2 linked regions of the Drosophila melanogaster genome follow. The protein of the gene in region 1 interacts with the protein of each later gene in a pairwise test. Each region holds a gene or a part of one and is shown in the gene's direction. Other genes may lie near its edges. The genes, in order: CG33170 and CG17648.

Region 1 (4,765 bases):
ACTATATTTATTTTATATTTTGTTTGGGTAAATAAAGTATTCACTATTGACTGGCAAGTGAATTTTGTACAACTTGCTACGACATTTTTATGTTCAGATGGAGGCAAATACAGCCCCAGGTTAATTGATGGCTTTCTAACTTATGAAATGCGTTATTTAATTATAAAGACTTTTTTAAACGCGCGCTTCCGTCCCAGAGACATTGTTCAACACTAGTCGGCCGGACGTGTCATCAGAGTAACCCGACCAGAAACTGCATGAAATAAGCAGCACTGTCGACAGTCAAAAGCTGCCTGCTTTTAGCCAGCCCAGTCGAACGTTTCTTCTTCTTCTTTGGCCCAGAAACAACTTGTTGAACGAAAGAAGGCCAGCTCTCTGTTTTGTTGCTCCACGCACACACATTCCGACGAGTGTTACACGTCACCAGATTAAAGGAACTATCGCAAAAACTATCAGTGATAAAGATGCGCCAGCTGAAGGGAAAGGTGAAGGAGACGCGCAAACAGAAGAAGGAGCGCAAGCTGGACAACCTGGAGACCCAGGCGAAGATCCGCACCGTGGTGCTGCCGGCGCTCGGCGTTTTGGCGGTCTTTCTGGTGCTGTTCGTCTACTTGAAGACCCGCCCCGCGGTCTTGGCCTAATGTAGTCATAAAATGTAGTTTATAGTCGTGGTCAGTGCAATTGAATCGTTGTAAAGACATATAGCCTTAATAGTACAATTAAATCACAGTTCGTCCATCCAAAAAGCATGTTTTACATAAAGTGGATTTTCCATGACACGAACAACACCCTGCTGTTCAAGTGCAGTTCCTGGGAATTTGAGATTTGGGGACAAAATGTATCCGAATTACGGTCGTTGGTGGTAGTGTTGAAAACCGTCTAGCGCTTTGGCGGTTGATTAAAAAAGGGCACTAGGAAACGGTAAAAACCGTAGCAGAGGCACTTCAATATGTAAATATGTGCATATGTATATTAGAGAAGGCGGCATCCACCAACATGTTTTATTTTTGGCCGTTTTGCGTTCAGTTTTTAATTGCGATTGCCCTTGTTTCAGTTTCACTTACGCCCGTCCACCGAGGAGCTCGTCGTCGGTGACCGCAAACTAATAATTGTTAATACATATGCATATGCATGTACATAAATTGAAGTAAAAGTTCAGTGCTCGAAAGGCAGTAACTTAACTCCATAGTTATCAGAGTCAGCCAAATACGATTACCTAACCATACAAACACAAATCGCAGTGGGCCAGTCAGCTGTTTTCAGATTCCGAGCAGCTGCAGACGAAGCGCCGAAGCAGCGTCGTTTGACGTTTCTTTTTCACATTCTCTCACTTTTGCTAAGACTCTCACGCTGGCGGCTGCGGGTGACAAAGGCTCCTTTAACTATTCCACTATGCTCAAGTTTCTGGTAAGTTTTCCGGTTTCCTGATGTTTTTAAGTTTATGATTCACACCTGAAATCATATCAGATACGAGATACAACTTTTCTGTGGTTTTTGTGGTTGTGTTGCTTTTCGCGGCGATGACGCGCCCCTGCACAGTGGTGAAATGTGTTGTCTAGGGGTTCAAAATCAAAACCAATTATTTGATTAAATATTAATGATTAATATAAATGACAAAATGTAATACATTTGAAAATACCTTCCCAATATCTAACTTCAACAAATAAAAAAATAGTATTAAAAGTTTAAGCAAAATTCAAAATATTCTTGCTCGGATAAAACAAGAGTGGATTGGTAAAACGGTAGAAAGTGCGCCAAAACACCAGTTAAATAGATTCCAAAATTGGTTCAATTTGAGTTTACTTCCCAGTGTGCGCTGTTTGAATACATACATAAGTGACTTTTGGTTCAACGTTATATAAGGCCTCACAAATTCAAATATCCACAAAAATAAAATAATCACCTAGTCGTTGGAAATTATGTCGACCATGACCGCTCAAGCCATGAGTAAACAGATTCGGACTCTTTGAAAAACAACACAGGCCTCACCAAATTGATCGTTTATATAGACTGGAAGTTAAAATGAAACTGCTTGGACTTGGGGCGCAGGTTTTGAGGCTCAAAACTGGCGGGCAGAGTCGCTCTGCGAAAACTTGCCCACCGGAAGTTCGCCAGCCATTGCCGTGCTGTCCCAAAAAACGCTTTTGGACTTTCAAGCGAGTAATATGTTTCTCGACGGTCAGCATGCGAAATAGACATCTTCAGGAAGATTTTCACAACCCACTCTAATAATCCTCCTTTCTCCATTCCAGTTAACTTTTGGCGCCGGGGTGTATACGGGAATCTATGTCTCACAGAACTATGAGGTAAGCCACCTAACCCACATTTGTTCTTGCTCCTAATACAGTGGCTTTTTTAGGTCCCCCGAGTGGATGATCCCCAGAAGTTGATGCAGCGTTTCAACGAGAAACTCAAAGAACTAATGGATCAAACCAAGAACAAGTAACAGCCTTGGTAGTTTCGTACAAGGATAACGTTACCTTCACTAAATTCAAAAAAGTCATAGAGCGACCTTTGTAATTTTTTTTTTTTTTTTTTTTATAATTTTTTTTATTATTTATTGAATCTTCCCTTTGTGTTAAGAGACTAACAATAAGTGTTCAAATCTTAATCTAACTTAATTAACTTTCACTTAGTGATAGTTTTTTTTTTTTTCATTAATGCCCTAATAAGTTTATTGCTGGGCTGGGAGGTCGTTGCGGTGCAGCCGGCTTTGACTGCATACTCGGATTAGTTTTCTTGCGAGGGGATTTGTATGGGTGGTCAGCTTTTCGTTATACTTCGTTTTTTTCTCAGCTATTACTTCGATTACTAATTTGATTTTTAGGTCTCTGTGTATGTTTTCGTTTCGAAGGTACCACGGCGCTCCAGTGATAATTCTCAGAATTCTTGACTGTGCTCGCTGAATAATGTCTATGTTACTTCTGGATGCGTTGCCCCACAGCTCGGAGCCATAAGTCCAGATAGGTTTTAAGACGGAGTTGTATAGAAGAGCTTTGAACTCCAGACTAAGTGGAGAGCGAGCATTTATGAGCCAGTGGAGGTTCCTTGCTTTAAGTTTAAGATGTTTCGATTTGGCTTCTATATGTTTGCGCCAAGTGAGCCGCCTGTCCAGATGAACTCCCAGATATGTTACCTCGTCGGCTTGTGGAATGCATATGTTATTCAAGACCAGTGGTGGGCATGTTTGTTTGTTTAAGGTAAAGGTAACCTGCTTGCATTTTTGAACATTTATTGAAATTCTCCAGTCGGCAAGCCATCGTTCTACAGATGTTAAGTGTCGGGATAGGAGTGCCGTGGCTTTTATTGGGCATTTCGAGCGACTGAGTATCGCGGTATCATCAGCGAACGTGGAGGTTGTTAGATTGTAGTCTATGGGGAAATCCGCCGTATACAGGGTGTATAAGATTGGACCCAGTACACTGCCTTGCGGCACTCCAGCTTCGATTGCGCAATCGCGTGAAGTGCTTGTATCGCATCTTATTGCAAACACTCTGTTATATAGGTATGACTTCAGTAGCTTATGTGTGTTTTGGGGCAACAGCTTGATTATTTTAAACAAAAGTCCATCGAGCCACACTCTGTCAAATGCCTTTGTAATTAAAATTGTAAAAATTTTATAAGTCGAACTTGTCAACTAAACCTGGATTTTTTTTCGATATCTTATATTAAGCTTTCCACGCGCTTGTTTTACAAATTCTGAAAATAGGACAAAGTGCTGAAAAAATGCGTGCGAAGTCGTGATGATATCTTTCTACTGTGGTGAATGATGGCTTTTCCGAATAAAAATTTGTTGCCAGGTGCAACCATGACGAAATCAATGCTAAATAAGATCATATTATCATTCTGTATCTTAATTATTTTACTATTTTCTTTAACAGATCGCCCGGCGAGAAACTAGTGGATGACATCAAAAAGGAGGCCAAGAAGATACTAGACGACTGACTGGCGGAATAAGACCACAATTTTAGTTTAAACCAATTTATCTATGATCAAATAAAGAGAATCTATATGTGTAAAACTAGACAAACGAAATTCCTCCGCCGTAATATTCCAGGCGTGTCTGAGGCTGGACAAATGCCAACCAATCGGAGGCGTGGGTGGGGAGGAGCCCCATGCTCTGGCACTTGTAGAGGGCCAAAGCCACGTTTGCTAGGTTGCCCAGGAAGTAGACGATGCGCTGGCCAGTTCCCTGGGCCCCCTCCGCCATTTTGGAAGTCACCTGGGTGGTGAAGATGGCCTTGATAGGCCGGATCAGCATCATGCCGACCATCATGATGGGAAAAATGGAAATCGAGTTTCCTGACATGTACATGATGAATAGATTCATGGGAATCTGAGGGAATCCAAAGGTTAAGCACGGGTCTTTCCAAAGGGCTGCTACTCACGTTCTTAAGAGGTCCCAGGGCAAGGTCCCACGACTTCTTGATGACCAGGCGCTGGTCGCGCACCACTTCACTCTGGTTCACCAAAGCAGATGGATTGTAGCCCAGCGGCGAAGGAATATCAGCATTTTTGCTGCAGGAAAAAGCAAAAGTGGTAAGAACTTGAGTCACCGCGCAGGCTAGCAATCCTTACCTCCCGTTAAAGTCCAGCGCCCACTTTAACTTTTTTGGGTTTTGCTTGGCGGACATGCTGTGCTTTCTTTTATTTAATCTTTTGCCAATTTATAAAACAAAATGACGATTTTTTCTGACAATTGGTCGCTGAGTGTTGTTCAACGTTAAATTCCGAAATTATTGTAGTGTAGACAATTCGATAGGCA
Region 2 (3,275 bases), on another chromosome or scaffold:
GGTCCATGGCTGCAATCCTTTTGTACATAGTCGGGTGTCTTTCCATCTCTCCTCGTTTTAAGTTCCAAATTCGAAACTACCCTTTTTGTGTTTTTACAATTGATCGACCGATTCGATGTTAGCTTAGGTATTTATTTAAATATTCTCTGAAATATTGTACGCAAGAAGGCTTTAGGGTAGCTTAAATCCAGTTTAAGTGCTGATATACCAAAAAGGAAGATCAACTGCAACACAATCTCTATAACCCCGTTTCCATCTTGCCCTGTAAACACAATACTTCATCCACTGAGCTGGATCTCCGCGAAGACTCCAGCTATGCCAAGTCTTGAATATTCATCTACTTCTATAAGGTCCGCTACAAAGATACTTTTGTGATCAATAATTTGTTTCGTCTCTTTAGTGATTAGCTTTAGTTTTAGCCCTAAGTTCGAATTACTTGTATATGACATATTTCGTTTAGTTTGTGTAGACAATTTTGTTTTTAAAATAAAACGTTTGGTACATTTGATGACTTCTTCTCGTTCCTTGCTATTAACTATCATGAAATGTTTTCTAGCTAATATAAATATAAAGTCTCATGTCTAACAAATCAATTTTATTAGTTGCAAAATGCTGATGCCGTACAAATAAGTTAAATACATTGATGAAGATGACGCCGGCTGGAAAGCCTGAATCTTTTGAACGCTTAAAGACTAAACACGTACATTATATAAAAAATATATAGTGGAATCATTCATATATTGCACCTATGTAATACAGACTCCCTCACATTGTGGACATGCGTGCATATCGAATTATCTGGTCGTGATTCAGGGGGCTGTCGGTGGACAGCTGAACCCTTTGCCACTGCCTGGTCTCGTTCGATTTCCGGATGGCCTCAACCACAGCCTGAACGTAGAGGCCGTCCTCAAAGGTGGCCGCTGTGGAAACTGGAGCCTTAACCCAGGAGGACTCCTTGCTGCCGAAGGCTTCCTTCAGAGCGCCCACCATCTTGCAGAGTCCTTTGATATATGGTCGTGGTAGCAAAGAGTTGTTGGTGGCGAAGTGCAAATCCTGGACATCCACGTAAACAGCTTCCTCTTTGGGTTGGCCCTCCTTGAGGACAAATAGGTCGCCGCCGCGGACCACCAGGTGTCCTTTGCTGCCATAGATGAGCACTTCCTGCGAGAAGGCTTTTGCTGGCACAGTGTGACTGTGCAGGGCCACTGTGACCAGCGTTCCACTGGCCAGTTCCATTTGGAAGTTGCAGAAATCCGGAGCCGTAATTTGTCGAATGCCATTGATGGCCGGTGTGGTTTTCGTGTAGGATCGTAGGACTCCATGCACTCTTATTGCCTGCTGTTGCAGCAGAAAGGTGACCAAGTCCACCACGGATCCCACGAGATTCAGGGCACCGCCGCCCATTTGCGCATCGCACATCCAGTTGTACTTCTCGGGAAAGAGCGTTCCCATCTGGACGCGCACATCCATGAGTACCACGTCGCCAATAGAGCCAATTAGCTCCTCCTGCAGACAACGACGCATATGTGTAAAGGCGGGCAGGAACCTCAGCGGGTGATTGACCAGGGAAATCAGAGTGGGATAGTACTGAGAAGCCCGAACCATTTTGAGTGCGTCCTGCTGGTGCAATCCTGCTGGCTTGTCGCACACCACATGCTTCCCGATGCCCAAGGCCTTCACCGAGATCTCCGCGTGCAGAAAGGGCTGGCACACGATGAACACCAGATCCACATCCTTCCGCAGCAGGACATCGTCGATTACGTTCGTATGGAATTGTACATTCTGCGTGGTCGCAGTCTCTTTCGCCTCTTTCAGGGTCCTGCCCCAAATGGCCCGCACCTCGAATCCTTTCTCCCGCAGCAGCGGCACCAGCACATTGGCTATCTCTCCCGTTCCGAACACTCCAACGCCCGGCAGCATCGCTCAAATTGGATAAAACTCTATAAAGTTAAGGGAAAATTCCAATGTTTATTTTTTGGTGGCCGACCAGGGCTGCCACATCGCTTAAACTGCGGGCGTGAACAGCTGTGGCTATCGCAGCGATATATCGATATGTGTCTGTCAGCTATTTTCTAGCTAAATCTATTTAAAATATTTAAAGCTTTTAAAAATAATATTAAACAAAAGAGTTTGTAAGCCAAATCAGTGGTGGCTATTGAGTTAATTACTAATTTATGTAGCCTTGAAATATTTAAACTCAATTCATAGCAATCGTAACGAACTTTCAAAGCATGATCTAAATTCGCTTTCGAATCATTTAAAAATATCAAATTTCAAATGATTTCGATTGCTCAGTTGCTGACCTCTTTTACGGCCGGAGCCTTGGCCTCTGCACAGGCGATTCGTTTTCTAAAAACTGCCAACGAGGAGGAGTCGCCGGCCAAAATTTCAAGCCAGCTGGAAACTGCGGTCATCGATGGACTGGCCACCGAGCAACCGAAGATCCTGGGCTCCGAACAGATCAGCAATGTCATGCAGCACATTCTGAGCAGCGAGCGCAATGCGAGTGGCGTCTACTTGGACGCCATGCACAACCGAAGTGCCAATAAGCAGGAGTACGCTCTGGGCTCCGAGTCGCTCAACCAAATGCTGGAGGACATCATGACCCCCGCCGGGAGTGTGAGCAGCAGGTCCTTGTCCATGGAACCCGCCGTCGAAGCCTAGAAGTTTCTAAAACTATTTTTAAAAAATACTTTCTTTTTTCTCTGCTTAGAATCAAATGAACCTGTGAGATTAGGCCAACAAAGTCTATAATGCTTATCTTCTTATCCGTGCCAATCTCAGTTTAAAGACCTCCTTGCTGTCCACTCAATTAACTAAGCCAGAGTCCTTTGGCTTCCATTTCGAGTGCGGTCTCCAACTCCCCATATCCTTTGCCCGTTGCCCCGTTTTCCCCCTTTTCCACCATATACCACCACATGTGGCCCGCTTTTCGACCCTTTGAGCCATGTGCGGTATTGCAGCTGTCAAAGCAGCCGGCATGCGGAAAATGATTCTGCAGCTTATTACAAGCTGGCAACTGCGAGTGCAAACGGCGGTGGAGTGAAGGACTTACTGACGACTGGGCTTATGATGCACTGAGCACAATTAGGGGTTCAGACTTCCGAACAACTATCAATATTACGGGATTAGAGACTCCAGTTTGGCTTTACTTTTGGAAGGTAGCCCTTCTGAAGAATTTGCGTACTGAGTGAGCTTTTTCTCTCAGTGTACACCACACATTCGTGTGGGGGGCTGTGTTTGTGCGGGCGAAGGATGTGGACGGGCGGACATAA

Evidence for each region.
Region 2: the proteins of CG33170 (region 1) and CG17648 interact in a two-hybrid assay, tested with the Drosophila melanogaster proteins (one large-scale study listed by BioGRID).

What each region holds. Positions count from the first base shown.
Region 1 is NT_037436.4:22,863,519-22,868,283, forward strand, and holds CG33170 (uncharacterized protein), read left to right. Parts: upstream 1-1,967; 5' UTR 1,968-2,022; coding exon 2,023-2,178; intron 2,179-2,252; coding exon 2,253-2,306; intron 2,307-2,359; coding exon 2,360-2,446; 3' UTR 2,447-2,516; intron 2,517-3,597; 3' UTR 3,598-3,881; coding exon of another isoform or gene 3,882-3,945; 3' UTR 3,946-4,017; downstream 4,018-4,765. Other genes in the region: CG33169 (uncharacterized protein), read left to right, coding at 465-641; EMC4 (ER membrane protein complex subunit 4), read right to left, coding at 4,022-4,336, 4,389-4,518, 4,579-4,634.
Region 2 is NT_033779.5:1,750,106-1,753,380, forward strand, and holds CG17648 (uncharacterized protein), read left to right. Parts: upstream 1-2,202; 5' UTR 2,203-2,277; coding exon 2,278-2,664; 3' UTR 2,665-2,743; downstream 2,744-3,275. Other genes in the region: CG17712 (uncharacterized protein), read right to left, coding at 766-1,920.